Kluyveromyces lactis: one gene and its partners. The protein of the gene in region 1 interacts with the protein of each later gene in a biochemical or structural test. Links are inferred from orthologs where the notes say so. Each region holds a gene or a part of one and is shown on either strand. Other genes may lie near its edges.

What was found.
Region 2: the proteins of BOS1 (region 1) and SEC22 form a complex in vitro, tested with the Saccharomyces cerevisiae proteins (3 studies listed by BioGRID). The link is inferred for Kluyveromyces lactis from reciprocal best matches to the Saccharomyces cerevisiae genes BOS1 and SEC22.
Region 3: the proteins of BOS1 (region 1) and SFT1 form a complex in vitro, tested with the Saccharomyces cerevisiae proteins (2 studies listed by BioGRID). The link is inferred for Kluyveromyces lactis from reciprocal best matches to the Saccharomyces cerevisiae genes BOS1 and SFT1.
Region 4: the proteins of BOS1 (region 1) and GET3 form a complex in vitro, tested with the Saccharomyces cerevisiae proteins (2 studies listed by BioGRID, with this or other methods). The link is inferred for Kluyveromyces lactis from reciprocal best matches to the Saccharomyces cerevisiae genes BOS1 and GET3.
Region 5: the proteins of BOS1 (region 1) and SGT2 form a complex in vitro, tested with the Saccharomyces cerevisiae proteins (4 studies listed by BioGRID). The link is inferred for Kluyveromyces lactis from reciprocal best matches to the Saccharomyces cerevisiae genes BOS1 and SGT2.
Region 6: the proteins of BOS1 (region 1) and BET1 form a complex in vitro, tested with the Saccharomyces cerevisiae proteins (2 studies listed by BioGRID). The link is inferred for Kluyveromyces lactis from reciprocal best matches to the Saccharomyces cerevisiae genes BOS1 and BET1.

What each region holds. Positions count from the first base shown.
Region 1 is NC_006040.1:495,159-498,949, reverse strand, and holds BOS1 (Bos1p), read left to right. Parts: upstream 1-1,309; coding exon 1,310-1,312; intron 1,313-1,427; coding exon 1,428-2,171; downstream 2,172-3,791. Other genes in the region: cyclin-dependent protein serine/threonine kinase inhibiting protein SIC1, read right to left, coding at 1-603; FMP25 (Fmp25p), read right to left, coding at 2,358-3,791.
Region 2 is NC_006042.1:1,884,571-1,888,242, reverse strand, and holds SEC22 (SNAP receptor SEC22), read left to right. Parts: upstream 1-1,870; coding exon 1,871-2,515; downstream 2,516-3,672. Other genes in the region: protein GET4, read left to right, coding at 1-747; polyphosphatase DDP1, read right to left, coding at 790-1,329; KLLA0_F20229g (uncharacterized protein), read left to right, coding at 2,848-3,672. UniProt on the Saccharomyces cerevisiae protein: Nonessential SNARE involved in targeting and fusion of ER-derived transport vesicles with the Golgi complex as well as Golgi-derived retrograde transport vesicles with the ER.
Region 3 is NC_006038.1:1,175,566-1,178,839, forward strand, and holds SFT1 (Sft1p), read left to right. Parts: upstream 1-1,533; coding exon 1,534-1,569; intron 1,570-1,706; coding exon 1,707-1,964; downstream 1,965-3,274. Other genes in the region: RPL14A (60S ribosomal protein eL14), read right to left, coding at 1-116; CAP1 (Cap1p), read right to left, coding at 2,090-2,878. UniProt on the Saccharomyces cerevisiae protein: Vesicle SNARE required for retrograde transport within the Golgi complex.
Region 4 is NC_006041.1:143,212-147,163, forward strand, and holds GET3 (guanine nucleotide exchange factor GET3), read left to right. Parts: upstream 1-1,555; coding exon 1,556-2,605; downstream 2,606-3,952. Other genes in the region: BUG1 (Bug1p), read right to left, coding at 46-1,002; ATG16 (Atg16p), read right to left, coding at 3,058-3,438; CVM1 (Cvm1p), read left to right, coding at 3,744-3,952. UniProt on the Saccharomyces cerevisiae protein: ATPase required for the post-translational delivery of tail-anchored (TA) proteins to the endoplasmic reticulum. Recognizes and selectively binds the transmembrane domain of TA proteins in the cytosol.
Region 5 is NC_006040.1:103,993-107,769, forward strand, and holds SGT2 (Sgt2p), read right to left. Parts: upstream 1,863-3,777; coding exon 855-1,862; downstream 1-854. Other genes in the region: KLLA0_D01133g (uncharacterized protein), read left to right, coding at 1-791; ALG6 (dolichyl-P-Glc:Man(9)GlcNAc(2)-PP-dolichol alpha-1,3-glucosyltransferase), read right to left, coding at 2,744-3,777. UniProt on the Saccharomyces cerevisiae protein: Co-chaperone that binds to the molecular chaperone Hsp70 (SSA1 and SSA2). Regulates Hsp70 ATPase activity. Required for recovery from heat shock.
Region 6 is NC_006040.1:1,198,185-1,201,543, reverse strand, and holds BET1 (Bet1p), read right to left. Parts: upstream 1,216-3,359; coding exon 772-1,215; downstream 1-771. Other genes in the region: protein disulfide isomerase EPS1, read left to right, coding at 1-574; iron-sulfur cluster assembly protein CFD1, read left to right, coding at 1,622-2,473; VAB2 (Vab2p), read right to left, coding at 2,498-3,343. UniProt on the Saccharomyces cerevisiae protein: SNARE required for targeting and fusion of ER-derived transport vesicles with the Golgi complex.

The DNA of each region.
Region 1 (3,791 bases):
AAGAAATGGATTCTCTAAATTACTATGTTGGTTGACTGCCGTAGGTTGTTGTTCAATATGAATATTTTCTTCTTCGTTTTCTGATTGCGATGTATTCAGACCAGACTCGTTATGCCATTTTCTAGCAAGTTCAAAGGTGGTGATCTTGTCACTTGGAGTTCCTGGCTCTTGTTTAGCAAGTTTGAATTTGTTATTGACAGCATACTCATCATTGATATTATAACTTTGAACGCCTTTGAAAGACTCCATTATACCGGTTCTCTTTGGTGGTAGCAAAGTCCTGTTGTTTGAAGTTTCTTCTACTTGGAAATCCGATCCGAACAAGACCCTACTGACAGGTTGTAACTTCTCCTGGTCAAACTCTATCCTGCGTTTCGTATGTTTGTTCTTATGTGGGGTATATTCAGGTGTCTTTAATGCCGGGCATGGACTTGTTAAATTCATGGGTCTAGTAGGTGGCTGCAATCTATCCTTTACTCTAACTGTCCCCGGAGTAACCATGCCAGAGGAATCAGATTCCGCGGCTCGCTCTGGAGTTGCGAGCAGCAAATCTGTCTTATTTGATCTCTTATTCCTAGAACTTGGAGGGGTAGCTGGGGTCATTATTATGGAAATAAGAGTGTAATGCGTAGAATGCAAAAAAAAAAGAGGATAAACTCTAGTATTACCAATTGAAAGCTATTGATATTGTTTTCAGATGTATCGGTGTGTTGATGAGATCTAAATGAAAAGTAGCAAAGATGGTATAGAATGTATACTATACCGATGATATCCCTTTTTCTGTCTAAAACAAAACGGACTGAAAATCTGGCAACTTATAATGAAGCAAAAAGCAGAGTAGGTTGAAACCAGTTTCCAGTAACCTCACTATCGTCAAGAAGGAATTTGATATGAAGAGACTCTGATTCGATTACTTAGGTGCGTATGCAACCGCTCTATGCTGGATATGGTTCGCTGTTAAACTATCTTTATATATAGATATATGTGAGACTCAAAACCAGCATCTTTAATTTTTTTTTTAATGTGAACCACTAATAATATTGAACCAGCAACAATTTAGCAGTCATACTTGAGTAGCAGTAAATAACTTCTAAACAAGGATTGCGTCTGTGAGCAGTGGAACCACTGGAAACTAAGAAAGTTTATGGAACATTCATACGCATTGGGATAATTCAGATCGATCAGAATTGACGATTGACGCTCAACGTTTGACTCAGCATTTTCCTGTATTTCTCAAGAGTATTCCTTTCTTGAATCTTTTGGATCTTCATTAGCGATCAAGAATTTTTGCGATCACAACAGGGCTAAGATGGTATGTTTCGCTGGAGCGCTGCTCTAATTGTATTTCTACATTTATAGACACGCGTCGCGTATGTGTTACTTATTTACTAACTTACCTTAATTATTGTTTCCCACGATATCACTAGAACGCGTTGTATAATCATGCCATCAAGCAGCGAAGTCTTCTAAATAAAGACTTGGGTAAATTTGAGAAAGAGCTCGTAACAGCGCCGATCTCTTTGCAAGGGGCGATCGCCACAACCCTTGTTTCTTTCGAGAAAACGCTTCATCAGTACAAGGAACAATACAAGCAATATCAAATAAATAGTTCAGATGACAACGACGAAACTAAACTAAAGTATGAGACGAGACTTCAGACCTTAACACAGGATTACGAAGATGCAAAAGAGAAATTTACCGAATTGAAGCAAAAATACTCAGAAATTAATGCGAGAGATCAGTTGTTCAACCAGCAAGCATCAATGGTGGAAGAGACCGTGATGAATAAAAGGAACATCAATGCTCCTCCGCAAACATCTTTCGGAATAGGCGCCTTAGATCAGAACAGTGAAAGAATGACTATCAATTCGGCGGCTGGTTTACCACTATATGAAGGATTGAGGAAAGAGAACTCGATCTTTGAGAGAGGCAACGCGCACTTGGACAGAATATTACAGATGGGACAGGAATCTTTGGAAGATATCATGGAACAGAACAGGGTCCTTCAGAGATTGCAGTCTCAGATGACAAAATCTCTACACGTACTCGGAGTATCAAATGAAACAATCGAAAAGATTAATAAGAGGTTGTTCAAGGACAAACTCATTTTTTACATTGGTCTCCTATTGTTAATCTTAGGAATTTATTTCGTCCTAAAATGGTTCGGCTGATCAATGTTTGTAATAAAGATTTATCAAAGTAACTCGGAGATATATTAATAAATATAGACTTTCTTTGTAACTACCACCATTATAAAAATAAAGACGTAATATGTTCTCATGAAAACGTAGTAACGTATACTGAGAAGAGGATGTATTTACAAGATTTTAAAAATCAGGTCTAATGAGAGTCACTCGCTATGCCTTCCAGAATAAACAAGATGCTTCCTTACCAGCTCTTAGACTCTGTTCGTCTGAAATAACTAGTTTATTATTTTCGTCGTACAATATGTCTAGGTTCTTGCCGTTGAACCTTTCACCTGGTTCTAACAATCTAGGAATGTAAGCTGGTTTGTCCCATTTGATCTTCTTCCCATTACCAAGTTGGCCATTTTCATTATAACCCCAGCACATAATCTCACCATTCTTTAATCTTACAAAAGCATGCTGCTCTCCACAATACCAATCTCTGATCAAGATGCGCTTATCAGAATTTACGGTATTATCCTTGAGATCGTTTATCACCTTCATTCGAGTAGGAGTAGATTGCGAATGCTTGAAATGACCATTACCTAATTGCCCTTGGATACCATTACCAAAGGCAAAATAAGTGATGTTATCCTTGTCATTGTCAATATCAATTGCAAAGTCCTTGTTTTTGAAATATCTATGAACATCCTGTGGAAGTATACTAACAAAGGACGTGTTTCCAGAACAATTAATTTCGACACACTTCAAGAAATCATGTTTCTCAAAGTGTCCGCTAAAGCTGCTAACCTTCTTTGGGAACGGTACATATTCCATATCGTAGCTAATGCTTTGGCCGAGTTGGCCATAAGTATTTAGACCAAAAGAATAAAGTTCCCCGACTGAGTCACAAGCAAGGGTGTGATAGTCTCCACATGCGATTTTGGAAATTGATCTGGATGTGACATGATCACCAGCAATACCGGTATTTAATAGTTCGATTTCGTATACCCTATTCAATTCGGGGTATGGATCAAATTGCGAGAACGTTGGGATACCGAATTGTCCTTTAGATCTTTCATTTTCAACGTGTTTAGTACCAGTCGCGCATGTATAAGCTTTCCCTTTATTCGAAAGAAGAACCAAATGGTTTGAACCAACGTCAAATTGGATCACTTTTTTTTCACCAGAGTAACGGAACGCAGATCTTGTGTCTAGCTTCCAAGAGTAACGGCAGTACGTTTTCCAAGGAAGCAACAGTGACCTTGACCAACTAATTTTATCTGAAAATAAGCTCTTATCCTTTAAAGGAATGACTAGCACTTCACCTTTTTTATTCAAACCATAAGCGACATCGTTCGAAACTTTGATTTGTACCAAGTTTTGATCTTTCAACAGTAAATTACATTTACTATTATCCCACTCAAATAGATTTCCGTCCTTGTCTACGGCTAGGTTTCCGTAACTTCCATCATCAGTTAAGCAAACATCTCTTAGTTTCATACCATCGAAAAATGGAACTCTCAATGGGAACTTGGTGACGGCTTTTTTGGAATCAGTTCCCAATCTTTGTCCCCAATAATACAACCCCACAACTGAACTATCAGCCGAGTCAGCTGGAACTACAGGTATATCGGTCAGTTTCCTACGCTCTTTTTTTTCCTT
Region 2 (3,672 bases), on another chromosome or scaffold:
TTTTTGAGGTCCAAGCAAGGTGGTTCTGGTTCAGATTTGATCTTCTATCTACTTGAAGTTTACGATTTGGCATCGGTTCCATGCAATGACTCTTCGGTCTCTAGACTCATTCAATTACTCGTCCTCGTTGACGGCCAGGAACCAAATTTAAAGGATGTAGTGACAGGGATGAACAATTGGTCTGTGAAACATAGTGAATATAAGTTTGGTGACCCATACTTACATTCAGCGATCGCTACAAAATTACTTGAAGGTGGATATACATACGAAGCGGAAAGATATCTAGTGCTAGGTACTCATGACTCGATGAAGCGGTATGTGGATCTACTTTGGGACTGGTATCAGCAATCCGGTGAGGACTCCAGTTTCCCCGATTTCATATCAAGAATGATATTCAACTATTTGTTCATCTTCAATATCGAATATGCATTGGAGGGATCTAAAGAACTTTTAAAACGGTTTACCAATCACAAGACAGATGTAAAATTTGAGTTAACAGAGAAAGGCCCATATAAGATTGATTATTTCTCATCGTGGGAATCGTTGAACTTTTTACAGTTGTTAATAATCGCATGTCAAACTCAAGAAACTATTCTTTTCCAGAATCTAAAATCACAATACTCAACTCTTGCCAACAAATACAACTCTGAGCTACAATTCTTGGGCCAAGAATACTTCGGTATCAAGGTCGAGAAACCAATCAACTTCTTGCAAGATATGATGTCTGGTTTCTTTGGAGGTAAATAATAATAGTCTTCGGTATAAACATACTCTATGTTATATATAATGCTAACTTTTCTTGATGCTACTTCTATTCAGAGCCTCAATGAGCTCTGGCCTCTTGGCACGGGTCAAGTTTTCTTTGGCCTGTTCGTAGGAGAACCATTGACGGTTTCTTGTCTTCACTTCAGGATAATTGTCCTCCAATTTAACATTAATCATCTCGAAGAAATGGAATTCGGACCTGGGAGGCCATTTGTTAACAGTTTCGTCATTCGAACTCTCGAATGCTTCCAAATCTGGGTTCCAGTCCTTTGGAGGTCTCATATCCTCAATGGAACCAAGTGCTTTCACTATATCGCCTGTGGCACCAGCTTCTTCCCAGGTCTCTCTTCTTGCAGCGGACTCAAAGTCAGGTTCATCACTTTCAATACCACCCTTTGGCAACACCCATCTCTTCTTATGAGCGGATGACTGGACCATTAAGACATTCTCTCGGCTTTCATCCAGTATTATACATCCTGCAACGAGTCTAGCACCAGTGACACTTGAATACAACTGATTCTCACGTCCTACTCTTGAGGTGTCGGTCTTGATAAAGTCTGACATCTTCGGTTCCTTAATACTATATATATAGACTGTTTCTCAGACCGATTTCATCAACAGGGTACACAAGACACATAGCTGTGACTTACCAGCTGTGGTCAGTTTGAAGGATACATGAACGTGCGGCCACGTATGAAATACACGTTGATCGGTGGTTCAATTGTGAATCTGACAGAGACTCTTGTTTCAGGGTAATTATTAAATAATACGTGTTAGGACCGAATCATTAAGCGCAACACCACAGAAGAAACAGCTGGGAAACCGTCTCTGGCAGATACGTTCTTCCATTCTCGTAGCCCTCATATGGTTAGGGCACCATGCTAGTCAGTATGGGGTTCATACTCCCACTTTTTAGCCTTGTATTTGTCCACGTTATTCGATTTAAACTCGTCTTTTCAACATGGAATGAAATCAATCGAATCAAAACCAAGTTTCCATCACTAATGAATGAAACTTCAGCAAATTAGAAAACGTATTGCCCTGTACCAAGCACTGAACGATCTTTCAGTTTTAGCAAGTGATTTACAAGGCAATAGGCACGGGCATGATTCGTTCTACGTTGATTTTCAGAGAAGATGGGTTACCATTGTGTGCCTCAGTGGATGATGACACTGATCCCAGTTTACAAGAGCAAAAGAAGAAGGTGAAGATCCTAATATCAAGATTCACTCCGACGTCAGCAAACGAGGCTACAGTGGAAAGTGGTGATTTCGAGATCCATTATATCAGATTGAACACCGTGGTCTATATTGTGGTCGCAGAAAGGAACTATCCACGTAATTTGGCATTCTCATACTTGGCAGATATACAACAAGAATTCGAACACAGTTACGGGGGACAACTCTCGAAATCGAACGTTAGACCGTATGAGTTCGTATCCTTCGACAACTTCTTACAAAAGACCAAGAAAGTTTACAACGACAAAAGAGTACAGGGGAACATGGACCAATTGAATCAGGATCTAAAAGGTGTCAAACAAATCATGACAAAAAACATCGAAGATCTATTGTACAGAGGTGATTCCTTGGATAAGATGAGTGATATGAGTGCGTCCCTAAGACAAGACGCTAAAAAGTACAGAGCCTCCGCACAAAAGATCAACTTCGACCTATTGATTAGCCAGTACGCGCCAATTGCGATCATAGCATTCTTTTTCGTATTCTTATTGTGGTGGATGTTCTTAAGATGAAGTATTCGCTGTACAGAAGTATCGATACACTTATGTACACTTAAATATGTATATAATTCCACCCTGTATAAACTTCAGCAAAAAAATGTACAAATATTGGCTCAGTATTGCTCTGAATGTGCCCTGACTAACGTATGTCTCATCATCATCAATACGCCTTTTTGCACTTGAACGATTCTTTTCTCAACATGAAAAACCTTTAAAAAGCAGATGATCTTCCTTAAGGGAAGAGGGAAATATCATGTAAGAAAGTAAAGTAAAATAGAGTTTACAAGTCGGTATACAACACGATAGATACATTGAGGTTATTGTAGTACTCGTGAATAGACAATATGGGAGACAATGATGCAGATGCCGTTGATTTCAGAGCTTTGATCGATGAGTTTCGATTTAGCAGGGTCTTGAACTCTAATCCGCAAACCAAGCAAATTTCATTATTAGGTACGATTAAGGGTCAGGATGCTATCGTGACTCTAGAGAAGACACACTTCCAGTTTGATAAAGTGGTGAACAATCCCAATTCGTCTACGTTGTCGTTGCACCAATGTGAATCTGAATATTCTTGTATGAATTCCATTCAGACGTTGAAACCAATAGCAAATAACGACATTTATTTCTGGGGGATGTCTGTGATGAAGCAGGACTTGGAGTTAAACCCCACGGCAAAGATCAACTTGATATGGCCTGCCACACAGGTTCATATCGAGAAGTACGATAAGCAGTTGTGCCATATGGTGAGGGAAACCCCAGAGATATATAAGCGTATCGTGAAGCCTTATGTGGATGATATGGTCAATAACGGTAGGTTGCAATGGGTTCAGAACATCTTGTATAACGGAGCAGAGAGTGACAGGGTCGTGTTCAAGTACTTCGACCAAGAGAGCCCCAAAGACGGCTTTGTGGTGCTCCCTGATATGAAATGGGATGGTGTCAATATGGATGCCCTTTATTTGGTTGCTATTGTACATAGGGACGATATTAAATCGTTAAGAGACTTGAGACCCGAACATCAACAATGGTTGATCGATATGAAGAATAAGATAAGATCTGTGGTTCCTAGTTGCTACAATTACTTGGTTCCCGCTGATCAACTAAGACTCTTTATCCATTACCAACCCTCATACTACCATTTCCATATTCACATCGTTAACGTCAGA
Region 3 (3,274 bases), on another chromosome or scaffold:
ATGATTTCAACAATAGTGGCCAACTTGCCGGCGGATTGGCCTTGTTTAACCAAAACAACACGGCCAACTTCGACCAATCTCCAGTTAGAAGCTTTAACAACAGAATCAGTGGACATCTTTCACTTGGTTCTTCTTCCGTTCTGTAAATCAAGACCAAACCTAATCTAATATAACGTAATAGTAAGTATTAAACCGTTATTATAGTATACCTTCAAATAGTGTAACAGATAAAGTAGTCAAACAATTTTGTTAAACCTTGGTTCCAAACTCAAACTTCCAACGCAGCCCTGTGTGTCTGTGCGTGTCTATCCGGTGAAGCTGGAATTCGCTATTGTCAGAATCCAGGACGCAGAGTACCTTGGAGTGCTTATTGATGAAAAAGTTGCGTGGGTAACAATGTATGTGGGCTACGGGTTTAAAATACATACCTATTCCAATTTAGGTATTATATTACAGGACGAATTCATTTTCATCCTAACACAGGCGCAACAAAATATGTAATGGTTGGGTGTTTAAAGGACATTATTGAAATATAATGAGATGTACAGGTGTATAAAAGGGCAGTCCCACGAAAATTGTTATCAATGTCCGCATGCTGATTGAATTATATATAAAGAGAGCGTATGAGATGAGGTATGCTGTTTGTATTCACACGATTAAACGGTGGTATTGTTAGACAGTTAATATTAGGATTGTGTTTCAAGTATGAAGCTTGTTCGTCACTTTAATAATAATAGTAACAGCATGAGCAGTAGCCACTGCTATTACTATACCTAGTTTTAGTGATGATTGAGATTTAGCAGCAGGAAGTATGGATTTGAGAAGAATTCTTATCATAATGTTTCGTGGTTTTGGGGTTCGCTTCTTTTCTTTTGAATGATGTTTTATAATTTGCGATCGAGGGCAAGTCATCTCGGGACATGCCTAGTTCCATTATGGGAGTCTTGTGGTATGCGAATAACTTTCGGTCTGACTATTATAGAAAAGAATCCTTTCATTACAACACATTCATTATAACTAATTCTTCTCTTTCTTTCACCTCAGCAGAGGTGAGGAGATAATTATCGTGTACTTCTGCACCTAGTCATGTTCCAATTGTGATCATACTTATATATACCACATATTTCTCAGGTATGGAGGATAAAGCGAACCATAACTATCTTTACGAGATGAAAACAGTTGCCTAACGTTGATTTCATATGAAAATTATAAAACTAACAAACACCAAGATCTACTCTGATTTCGATAATTATGGTTTTCGCTTTGTACCGTTAACAGCGTCATGTATAGTATTTGTATTCACCGTAGCTTTCTTGTACCTTTCGCTATGCTTCGCTGACTGAAATGAAATATCATTTCTAACGTGTTTTGAAGATTCAATTCCCATTATTATGAGCGATAGAATTGAAACACTGTCTGTACCTTAAAAGGCAGGATCAAAGTGCACCTCAGAGTTTATATTATAGCGAAACGTTCACATTTAGCAACTAGAACGCGATATAGAGCCACTCTTGCATAAAGTGAACTCTCACCATGTCGGATTCCAAGTACTCACAGGTGGAAAATGATGTATGTTCTACCAAAAAGACGTTTGATGGCAGAATAGGCTTGAACCTACAGGCGCAGTATCCTTACCGACTGTACGGTATGCAAGTGCCACTTTAAGATCGAAATTTACTAACGTAACGCTCAAACATTTTCTTTAGAATAATCAAAGGTTAGACGAATTGGCCAATAAACTATCTACATTCAGAAATATCAACCAAGATATTGGAAATCAAGCCGCAAATGACAGCTCCCTTATCGACAATATACAGAACTCATTCGGTCAACTTTTCCTTAATGTCAAGAACTCATCTACAAGGCTCCAGAGATCTATGAATGCCGGTAATAATATATGGCGTATGGTGGGTGTATCATTATTGTGTTTCTTCATATTGTACACGATATATAAGGTATTTTAAGAACCTTTTGCTTACTGACCGCAAGTACTCTTCTTTATAGGAAGAAGTTTGAATAAGCAGAAGATATTCGTTGTATATACACATATGTATACATTCAGGTAATGTAATGTCATAGCATCATCCTTTCATGCACCTTGAGCAGCATCTCTTCCCAATCTGTAATTACCGATCCCTTGTCCCCAGTTGATCTTGGCTCTAGTCACGGGTAATCTTCTTCTCAATCCCTTGAACTGTGTTTCATTCATGTACTGGAACTTATTGATGAGATTCTTTTCAAACTCGTTCTCAAACTGCTTGATGCTTACTATTGGTGAATCCGTCTGTGCTGATTCCAAGGAAGCAGTTGATTTGAAACGAACGTTACCGTCTTCGAAGTAATGAGCATCGACGGAGACTTCGCCAGAGATCGTATCCCCATCGACATCATACACATATTCTGATAACCAGTAACCAGTCCAGAAATCACCTAAACTTTTCTTGTTACTGACAACGATTATGGCATATTGGTCGCTCTCTGGAATCTTAAACACGTTGAACACAGCTGTATCAGGGAAGAAGTTTGAAACGTATTTAGACAATTCATCGTAAAGGTCTGATTGTACCTGAGTGGCATCTTCACTGGTATATTCCTCAATATCACTAGCTTCGCGGGTAATATGGTCTACGGCAAATAAAACCTTGTTTACTGGATCGAAATATTTACTTCCAGATTTATTGTATTCAGACACAAGATATCTCTCTTCACCCTTAGCAGCTGGCACTCTGTGCTTCTCATTGAATTCTTGGATAATTGAAGCAATCTGTTGCTTGCTTTGACCATCGCTTAACACTTGTAGATTATCGTAAACCAAAGAGATTTCCTCTGGAGGGGAATCGAATACAATATCTCTCACAATCTTCTCAAATTCAGACATAATATGATTTTCACAGTGTGAATTGATGTTCACCACAATTTACCTTAAAATGACAGGTTAATTGTCTCTAAATCCACTTCTTCACTGGTAGATTTTTGCCTATAACTGTAGTAAATTTTAACTTAAGAGTTCTTTACGATATCGTTATTCGTCTCATTTATTTTTTGAAAGAAAAAGGGACCTTAAATTTGAAGGAACCTAGGCTATCCATGACTTGTACTAGGGAAGAGCTGCAGTTGATTAATGACATGGAAGGCGCGTAAGGCCATGTGTTTTGGCAATATATTGAGATTTAAATACTCTTACAACTAAATAAACATGCTCTCTTGACGTATGTGCAAAGAAATAAGCTTATCATAGGATAGTATTTTTATATAGAAGTGCAGATTAAGCATG
Region 4 (3,952 bases), on another chromosome or scaffold:
AAAAAATCATAGCTCTGTGGTAATAGTAACAAGGCTGAAACTTACTTAAAATTCCACAACTGGGCCAACACCAACTGATCTCCAATTTGTCATATCGACATTCCAGTTCTTCCACTTAGCTAACATAACAGGGTCTGTCGTTGGATGCTGAATCTGTCTCGATGGCTCGAATTTGGATGGAGAATGTCTATCAAAGGAAGAGAATTCCACAGGGGTTAGTTGTGGTGATTGTGTTGCTCTAAGCTGCTCTACTTCTTGTCTAGACGTAGATAGCTCCTGCTGAGCGGACAGCAATTGTACAGTTTTATCATTGAGTTGAGATTTCATGATGTTTATCTGTTCTTCAAGCTCTTCTATGGAGCTTTCTTGATCTATGTTGACAAACTTCAATTGCTTTACTTGATCTTTTAGCTTTGAAACTTCTTCCTTGAGGTTTATTACTTCATCTTGGCTTTTCTGTTCTTGTATCGTCGAAAGGAAATCTTTCTCTTTATCATCATTCCCGCCAAACAATTCTTCAACTTCATCTGTACTTTTTGCCTCTATTGGTTCTTCCTCTTTTTGTTGAACTGCAAAAGCTTCTTTAGACACTTCCTCGGTTGGGTTGGGTATATCAGTTGCTTCCTTCTCGAGGACTTCCTCCTCGGAGTCTTTCTTGTTCTCCGCAGACTCTTTTTCAGACTTCTCCACAGACTCCTTTTCAAACTTCTCTTCGTTGTTGTCATTGCCCTTTGCATCAGCATTTATCTCAGCCTTTTCTTCAGCTTTTGTCTCTTCCACGATTGGTTGTTCATCTGAATGAACCGGACTCTCTGATACATTAGTATCAGTCGGTTCCAATTCAGTTTCAGTTTCAGTTTTGACTTCAGCTGCTTCAAGATCTTCCTTGTCCTTCTTCTTCTTATTCTTCTTGTTTTTATTCTTCTTCTTTAACTCTTCAACCCTTATCTTGGCTTCTTCGAGCTTTCTGGCTCTTTCTTCCTCGGGGGATAGTTCAGACATAATCAACTGTTCGAATGTGTGTACTCACTTGCATTGAAGACGCCAATTGGTTTTAATATTTAGCTCGCAATTGTTTCAGATTTGGCATTCACCATGTAAATTCTTATTTCATATGGGGCAACTTTTTTTTTTGATCTAAACGTGTCGTTATGGTTCACACATATTTAATAAGAAAGGAATCACCATCATTGAGGCAAACATCGATCAAATAATATCGTTTAATTTCACAATGTTTCAAAGCCATTTAGGTTCGAAAGAGAACAAGATTCAAGACTTTTTGAGAAGCAAACTCAAAGTATTTGTACCATGTTCTTTATTATTCGGTATGCGATTGGTAAATATCAAATTATTATCACCACCGTATATAGTGACGTGTTCTTTAAAAGAACGTAGAAGAAGTCTTCAGCAAGATATTTAGCATTTGTTGTCACTTTTAGTGGCGACATGCGTAGATAAACAGAAGTTTTACAACTAAGACGCCCTCTTATTTCAACTGTAGGAATAACAATCAGTAAGTGTGTAAACCTGAGACCAAGTAAAGCGGAAAAGTACAATGGATTTAACAGTTGAACCAGATCTAAACTCTTTGATAACTTCCTCAACACACAGATGGATATTTGTCGGTGGTAAGGGTGGTGTCGGTAAGACGACGTCATCTTGTTCGATTGCCATTCAAATGGCTTTGGCACAACCAGAGAAACAATATCTATTGATTTCTACAGATCCTGCACACAATTTAAGCGACGCCTTCGGTGAGAAGTTTGGTAAAGATGCAAGAAAAGTCACTGGGATGAACAACTTGTCATGTATGGAGATTGACCCTTCTGCCGCTTTGAAGGATATGAATGATATGGCTGTTGCCAATAATGCAACTGGATCGGGAGAGTTCAGTGATCTTTTGCAAGGTGGTGCACTATCTGAATTGACAGGATCGATTCCAGGTATTGATGAGGCACTTTCTTTCATGGAAGTGATGAAACACATCAAAAACCAAGAACAGGGTGAAGGTGACAGGTATGATACCGTTATTTTTGATACCGCACCAACAGGTCACACTCTAAGGTTTTTACAGTTACCAAGCACTCTATCTAAACTCTTGGAGAAATTCGGAGAAATCACTGCAAGATTGGGACCAATGTTGAATTCTTTGGCTGGTGCCAATAACGTCGATCTTGTTGGTAAAATGAGTGAATTGAAGTCTAATGTGGAAAAAATCAAGGAACAATTCACCAATCCTGATATGACAACTTTTGTCTGTGTTTGTATCAGTGAGTTCTTGTCTTTGTACGAAACTGAAAGATTGGTACAGGAATTGATCTCATACGATATGGACGTGAACTCCATCATTGTAAACCAGTTATTATTTGCTGAGTATGACGAAGGAGACAGCTGTAAAAGGTGCCAATCCAGATGGAAGATGCAAAAGAAGTATTTGGACCAAATTGATGAATTGTACGAAGATTTCCATATCGTTAAGATGCCATTGTGTGCAGGTGAAATTAGAGGTTTAAACAACTTGAAAAAATTCTCCCAATTCTTGAGAAAACCATACGATCCAGTTGCAGACAGCAAAGTGATTTATGAATTGGAACAACAAGACTGAAAGGAAGATAAATATGAATCATTGATACCTAGCATTACACGGCCAATCTATAATTTTTTATTATTTGTACACTAAATAATTGCAGAGCAGATTCTAAATTGAATCATTGCATCGAATTAGCCTCTATAATGTAGCATTAAACATCTACTTTAGTTGCAACATGAAAACATTATTACTTCAGGCTTCGTGATAGTAAACGAAAAGATCCGAAAGCTAAAAAAATTTTGGTAAATTGAAATGCTCCAGGGGAGGTTCGAACTCTCGACCTTCAGATTATGAGACTGACGCTCTTCCGACTGAGCTACTGAAGCAAATTTCTTGGAAAACTGAATTTTTAAAGAGTTTCATGCACTTGGGATTTGATGTACCATTGAGTCGCAGGGAATTAACTTCAAATCACTTATAAAACTCGCAACTCATTTATAACTTGAGGCATATAGAGTATGTCATATCTATTTAAGTCTCGTATTCATGATATCGGCCTCTCTTTGTGCTTTTAGTAACCATCGTTCAATCAAGGTGTCATATTCTGCTTGAATGTGTGTCAACCTTTCCTGTAAAAGATTGTTTTCTATGTTGATGCTGATCAATTCGTCATTCAAACGCTCAGCATCTCGATTTTTTACACTAATAACATCATGTAGTTGCCTTATTTCCTCTTCCTTTTCCGTAAGATGTTCCCTTAGATTCTTTATGCTGTTTTTAAGTCGTAGTTGGTCTTCGTTATCTTCCTCATTATCTCCAGACAGAAGTGAGACCGTTTCGAAAAGATGCGAAAATCTCTTATCAACCAAATCCCTAACTTTCAATTTATCTAGCAACGGCAGTTCCATGTCACAAGCTCACTAAGATCTGCGTGACATGTTACGTTCTTTTAATTCCATCTCAAGCACTTGCATGAAGCTTCACATTTTTCCTATTTATGATTGATTCTCTAAAATCTAAAACAACAAAATAAAGGGAAGCCTTGTAATCACAACAAAACCAAATAAGCGAAGAATAAAAATCCTCCTTCAATAATCGTTTGGCCTTATTTTGACAAGATATTACCATAGTCTATATTAGTTCGAGGTGAACCTCCTTCCACATGATCAACTAGTACTGTACATCAGCACATTAGATTAGTGAACCATCTCGCATGTCCGAACCCATCAATTCAACGGGAGAAGATAATAATCCATTTTGGAGAAGATGGATCCCAGGAACTAATGCTTCAGAAGAAAACAGTCAAGATACTCCTACTAATTCGTCTTCTGAACACCAGGACGAAGGATGGCTGAAAAGGTATATACCAGCTTGGTTCTCCAATCAAGAAAGTTTAGAAATCAGCGACAGTACATCATACCA
Region 5 (3,777 bases), about 390 kb from region 1:
CCCGTGGTAAGTTATGGTTAGGTAAAGATGAAGAAGAACTGAAAGTGTTATTAGACGTTCCTACACCCTACTTATCTGAGTCGGAACGGTTCATAAAGTTAGAACCGGAGGAGATAAACGGCATTCAAACTTTCTTGAAATACAACCTAGCTGAGTTTCAGAAGCTGAGAAATTGTTTGATTATTTTGAAGAAACTTGCGATAGTACAACAAATCAAACACAGAGATGTCATAACGATGCGAAACTCTTTCCTATCTTTGGGGAACCAAATGTCGCAAAAAGGTGTAGCAAAAAGTTTTGAAAATACAAACTGCGCTTGGTCTTATGATCTTTCATATTATGAGTTTACTCGAAACTTGGAATATCTAGAGCACTCTGTTGTCACTTTACTTAATAACTTTGAGTCTCTTCTCGCAAAGACAACTTTATGGTGGAAACATTTTGGTGAATTAATGGAACTGAAGAAAGAGTGGAAGAAAAATTTCCCAAATGACAAGGCGCCTCCTTCTTCAGCAAACAGAAATTTTATAGATACCTACATTGAAGGTAAAAGGTCTAAATTTAGGAATAAGTTATCCAATCAACTGAAAATGAGCTCTTTGAACCTTAAGAAAATTGGCGGTGAAATCAAAACAACACATGAATCGATCGCAGTGGGGATAAATCTATTCATCGAATTCAAAGAGCAGTTTTACCACGATCATATCGTTAAATCCATAGTTGATCAAAGAATCAGGGAAAATAAACAAATCATGCAACAATTGATTGATACCATGAAAGGGCATGTTTAACTAGTCATATATAGATCAAATATATACAGTCAAAAAGGACAAGCAAAAGTTTGGGTATACTGGTTATTGCTGGCTGCCGTTGCCGCCACCAAACATGTTTTTGGCCATGTCTCTAATAGATGGGTCATTCATCATTTGACTCAAATCTGGCATGCCGCCACCAGATGAGAATTGGTTGGCCATTTGCTTCATTGCTGGATTGGACATCATATCCTGCATTAGACCTGGATTTTGCATCATCTTTTCAGCGGCTTGCATAACTTGAGGGTTGTTTAGCAGTGCTCCTAAACCACCGCCTAGACCGCCACCACCTAACAAGCTTGAAAGATCTGGTAAGCCACCAGCGCCTGCACCAGGACCTTCAGTCGCAGATTTGTCAGAAACATCTTCAGAAGAAGCGCTGGTAGAGCTCTTCTCTAAGTTCATTGAGGTTTCTACCTTCTTCTTGGCAGTTTCGTAATCTCTTTTCATAACGTCAGTAGCTTTTTCCCCTTCGATATCTAGGACCTTCTTGTAAGCATCTAAAGCTTCTTCAGGCTTATTCAAAGCATACTTCGCAAATCCAAGTCTAGAAAAACCCTTAGAATATGTAGGATCAACTTCAATAGCTTGCTCGGCGTCCTTAACGGCCTGTTCGTACTGCTTCAAAGAAGAATAAGCTGCAGCCCTGTTCGAGTAGTAAACAGCGTTAGATGGAGAAACTTCGATAGCAGCAGTGTATTTTTCAATAGCCTCATCAAATTTCTTAGCAGCCATGGCCTTGTTACCCTGTAGCTTTAATTCTTCAGCCTTGGCCTTAGCTGCTGCATCTTCAACTGGAATATGAACCTTCACTGGTTCACCAGAAACGCCTCCAGAAGAGGGAGCTGAGGCTAATAGTTCAGGTAATTTCTTGCCATTAAAAGGACCAGAGATTAAAGAATCAGTCTCATCTCTTTCAAATTGGAAGGCCTCAGTGATACAGTCGATGGCAACATTCAACGAATCAACATAGTCTTCGTTTACTGAAGAAGACGATGATGACAAAAAGTCAACAATCAAAGCAGCAATTTCCTTATTAGATAGGGACATTCGGATTTTCTAAACTTTTGACAGTGCTTTAAGATGAAATAAGGATCACAAACCGCTGTATACGATAAGATGAAGCAGTAACAAAGGACGAGTCAATGATAACTCTTCTTTGAAAGTACATAAAATCCAGGCAACTTGTCATTTAAGCACTATTATAATAAACTTTTTCCTGAATGTGAATGGCGAAAAAATGATAAGTACGGAAAAACCTTCGGTTAGAGAAGGCAACAGAAGACGAAAGATTCACAGAGACACGTCAATTTCACATCGTTAGCATTTTTAAGCTGACTCGTGCCGTCTTAATTGAGAAGTAGTGATATTTGATAGAAGCTACTAATAGTTTGGAACCATCAACCATGGAAAGGAAGTTCAAAGAGTTGCTGGCTCCTTGAAAGAAGGAAAAAGTTAATCAAAAACAAAATCTTCCCCGCCAGGACTCGAACCTGGAATCTTCTGGTTTCAGAAGTAGCTAACATCGTAGCCAGACGCCGTGACCATTGGGCCACGAGGAATAAGATTTCGTGACGGTTACTACTTTTCGTTCTATATAACAGCTACAACAGATCATATGATACTTTTAAAGTAATATTCAGACTTTACCTATTTAGTGAGTATGCCGTTACACAAATACGGTGCATCCAGCATGGAGAGTTTTACTATATTGAATTTCATTACGAAGAATTGTTTTTCTCATTTACGAGTCTTATACTGGTGCTTTTTGTCTTTGTTTATTTTTGATCGAAACTGACATTCGATATATGAATACTAATTAAAGTGTAAGTAGAATCCTAAATGATTAAACAGAGGAGTGAAATATATATCCCGGTTTTGCTCTTGCAAGGTACGCCCCGTATCATTACTGCTATTATAAATTTTAACATCTATAAATCTTGCAAAGTGCTGTTTCTCATTTCGAATAATTTATAATTGTTCCATATCCAAAATGTCACAAAACATGAGAAGCCCAAGGAACAATTGGCAAGCACCCATAAATCAGGGTATTTTGATGGCGGGGAGACGTAATAGTCTAGAAAATGAATAATCCCCATTGCAATATATGAGCCAACAATGATTAATCTCCATATTAGGCTCTTGGGTAGTAAACTTGCCCGTCTATAATCAACATCTATATCACTGATGGATGGCCCTGGTGTCAAAAATTTTGGGAGGAAGCGTGGTGTGACGAAACTGAAGTTACCGATCAACCAATTGCTAAACATGAACATGACTCCATATTGCAATACTAGATTGTCCTTTTTCAGTAATGGCCAGAGTGTAAACAATGCCACGTTGTTAATCCAACAAACCAATGATAGAACATTCCAATCTCTTGACGTGTACAAGAGTGTAATAGGAAGTAAAGGTAATAAGATTGTCTTTTCATGAACCTGGAAGCTGAATAAGAAGAATGACATCGAACATGCGGCCAAAGCATATGGTAGTAAATGTCTCTTCGGGTATAAAAATGTTATAATGAATGATGGTAAAAGCCCAATAACTGTTGCGAGTAATGAGTATAATTGAAGATCCTTCTGAGTGAATAGATTTCTATATTTGATGAAAATATTAGAAACGCACCAAAAATTCGCAACTTTATCTTCAAAGATACCCCTGGCAAATGGAAAAATCCTGTGCATTGATTGCACTAAGTTCTTGTATCCTCCAAAGATATAGATTGGACCGAAAGAACCAATGAATGCAAGAGCTGTTGAAACAGAGATCGCAAATAACCTAGGTAAGTTGATCCCTGGAGAGTATGTGGATTTACTCAATAGATAAGCAAAGAAAATTGGAGAATAATAAAGTGCCATTTGCTTAAAACAAAGTGATAGCACAAAACATATAGCTCCCATAGCGTAAAACCCATCTAACAGATTATTCAATGTGTAGACTGTCATTCCCAACATTACGCAGT
Region 6 (3,359 bases), about 700 kb from region 1:
GGTGTACGAAGGTCTTAAGACGGCCAGAGAAGAAAAGAAAAAACTGGTGCAAAAGCTTAAGAACAAAAACGCACCATCCGTTGATATAGTCACTGCCATGAGAAAAGAGATAAATTACAGTTATAATCACAAGGTCATATTTGCCTATTTGGACATTAATGAATCCCCTTCTCTCTTGAATAATAAAGGTCTAAATGTTTACTTCAGGAAGTTCAAGACTGGTGATATCATTGTCGTGGACAAGCAAAAAGCCATCTATTACGAAAAGGATGCTTCTGGACAATACATCACCCTAGAGACGTTGCCCGAAGTCCTCTCCATTCTGAATTTCCCCGCAAGACACCCTGATCTTCGTATTGAACGCATCTTTTTGAGAACTCCACTCAGTGGATTGCTCAGATTAATTGACTACCTCCGCGAATTTAGCGGAATCAATTACTTATTTGTTGTGGTGACATTCTTGGCGTTATGGAAAATACCCAGAACCATTCATCATTATAAACTGAAAAGACGTTACGCTGCAAAACGGGATACTCATGGTATCCTCGGGAAGGAAGCTAAGCTCATGGATTGAGGAACAGGAATTCTTCCTATAAATAATCTTATATTTCAACCTAATACTGATAGTTACGATTTATTAATATATCTTTTTAATGGTACATATAATGCGTGAAGGAATGCGTTTAACCAATACGAATTAGATATACATGCTCGATGGGATACTCTTCAGTACATGACCCTTTTGTGGTTTTTTATTTCGCTCTCGCTCTCTCAACGTATCCAGACGTAGAAGAACAAAAGTGTCAGAACACCAAATATTATGAACCATATTTTTAATGGAATGCGAGAATTCTGAGCCATCACCATCATTCTCTTGAAAGTCCTTTTCAAACGGTTGCTAGTCTGTTCAAAAACGTTTCCTAACTGATCTAAGGTCTGATTGCTACCACGAATCTCATCTCCCATTCGTAGAGATAAATTCTTTAGTGCGTTGATCTTTTCACTCATGGTATTCATTTGTTCATCACTTTGAGACTCGAGCTGCGAAAGTGTTGCTTGAGAATAATCTACCCCTGGGGATGGTCTATCAAACGGCGAACTTGGTCTATCCTGTTGTTGTTTATACTTAGAGAAGTCAGTACCCGCAAACAATTGCGTCCTACTCGCATCTCGCTGTGTCAAATCACCTTGCATTCCACTATAGTTTGAACTCATACCTTAATTATTTCTAGTGCCTCAACAATAAAATACAAAGTGTAGATTTGTCAAGATACTCAGATCTAACCATAGGGAATTAAGTGCAGTTTCACCTTGGAACTTCCTAGTCCATCTGTAAGCTACTACCAAATCGATTCGCTTAACGAAAACTTTTTGTTGAAGTTTAATCACGTGATATTGTCCTCGAAGGTTTCCCCTTCGCTCTGACAAAGGTATCATTATCATCATGAAATCCTAGTTAAGCTAAGAGTTAAATGTATTAGTCAACCTACTGTTTAAACGGCTGAGAAAAGTATTTGCAGTATACCCTTTTATAAGTATTCTGTCCACTGTGAGCATATACAGTCATATCTGCAGTGGCTGGTACGTTTAGTGTCCCAGGATCATAATCAATTGTATCTCGATGTCAGCTGAAACCGAATTATTGGGTATGCCTGAGTCCTTAAAGGACATCAAGCACATTATATTGGTCCTTTCTGGTAAAGGTGGTGTTGGTAAGTCATCTGTCACCACACAGACAGCATTAACTTTATGTTTAAAGGGATACAAAGTGGGTGTTTTAGACATTGATCTAACTGGACCGTCGTTGCCTAGAATGTTTGGTTTAGAAAATAAACAGGTTTATCAGGCTTCTAAGGGTTGGATACCCGTTAGTGTTCCTACGACATCAGGAGGGGAATTGAAACTCATGTCCTTGGGTTTTCTTTTGGATGATAGAGGTAATAGTGTGGTATGGCGTGGTCCTAAGAAAAGTGCTATGATTAAACAATTTATAAAAGATGTGGATTGGGGAGATTTGGACTATTTGATTATCGATACACCGCCCGGAACTTCGGATGAACATATATCTATCGCAGAAGAGTTGAGGTGGGCTGCACCTGATGGTGCTATTATTGTTACCACGCCTCAAGGTGTCGCTACGGCAGACGTGAGAAAGGAAATCAATTTCTGTAAGAAAGTCAACTTCAATATACTCGGTGTCATCGAGAATATGTCCGGATTTATATGTCCTCATTGTGCTGAATGTACAGATATCTTCTCTAGAGGAGGCGGTTTCAAATTAGCCAGCGAATATAACGTTCCGTACCTGGGGAATATTCCAATTGATCCGACGTTTGTCGAGTTGATTGAGAAACAGACTGGGTTCAAAGAGAGCTTAGTTGATCTCTACAAGGATTCTGGATTGTATGTCATTTTCTCAAAGATATTAGATAATGTACTGAACGGTGAAGTAAAAAGTGGAACAGATCAATAATGGGTAAATTTGACATGAAACTTTTCATAAGTCAGCCGATTTGCTCATGCCTCGAGGTCTAGTGAACGGTTCTGTGATACATATATGCTCAAGAGTTGTAGCGATTGATGGCCTTGATGTACTCCGGATTGATGACAGTGCTAATGGCGCCGAGGATATCGACTGACGGTACGATTTGGTGGTGTTTGAGTCCGCTGAATTTCCTTTGGTACTATGATAATCTTTTTTAGCATTATTTTGGCTTCCATTTGTACTTTGCCTCGAATAAGAGCTGTTCAAACTCTCGGAATTAGCTTCGTTCTGTGACTGCCCACTATTGTCCTTATTCGCTTCGGTTTCTGTCGTGTTACTACTCTCTGGGAACCTTTCTTGCAACAGCTTTGAAATTTTGCTGAATTGCGTCGCATCAACTTTTATACTACCGTTTCTAGTTACGTAGTCTAATAATTCTTCATTCACATCTCTGATTATTCGTACCTTCTTATCAATGTCAGAATATTTGCTTTCGAACTGTTTTAACTGTTTATCCGAATCCTTAGTGAATTTTGATCGTAGTTTTACTAACTTAGAAAAGCTAGACTCTAGTTTTTTTACCGAGTGGTTGATCTTGTTATTTACTTCTTTCGTCTGCGATTGTTCTGTATCGATTTCTTCCTGAAGTCTCGAATAAATTATGGCAACATCGTCACTGATTTGATTTACTTCCTTGGCCACATTGGAGAATATATGATCTTGTCTCAATGAAGAGGAAGAGGGAAGCAAAGGCAATGATTGCAACTGTTTAGAATAATCACTCTTTTCAATTGTCGCAAAGTGGAAGCTCTCTCGCTTCCTCAGGTGCTTCGAATCTCCATAGAATAGGAAACTCATCTTATAGCAGTTGGAA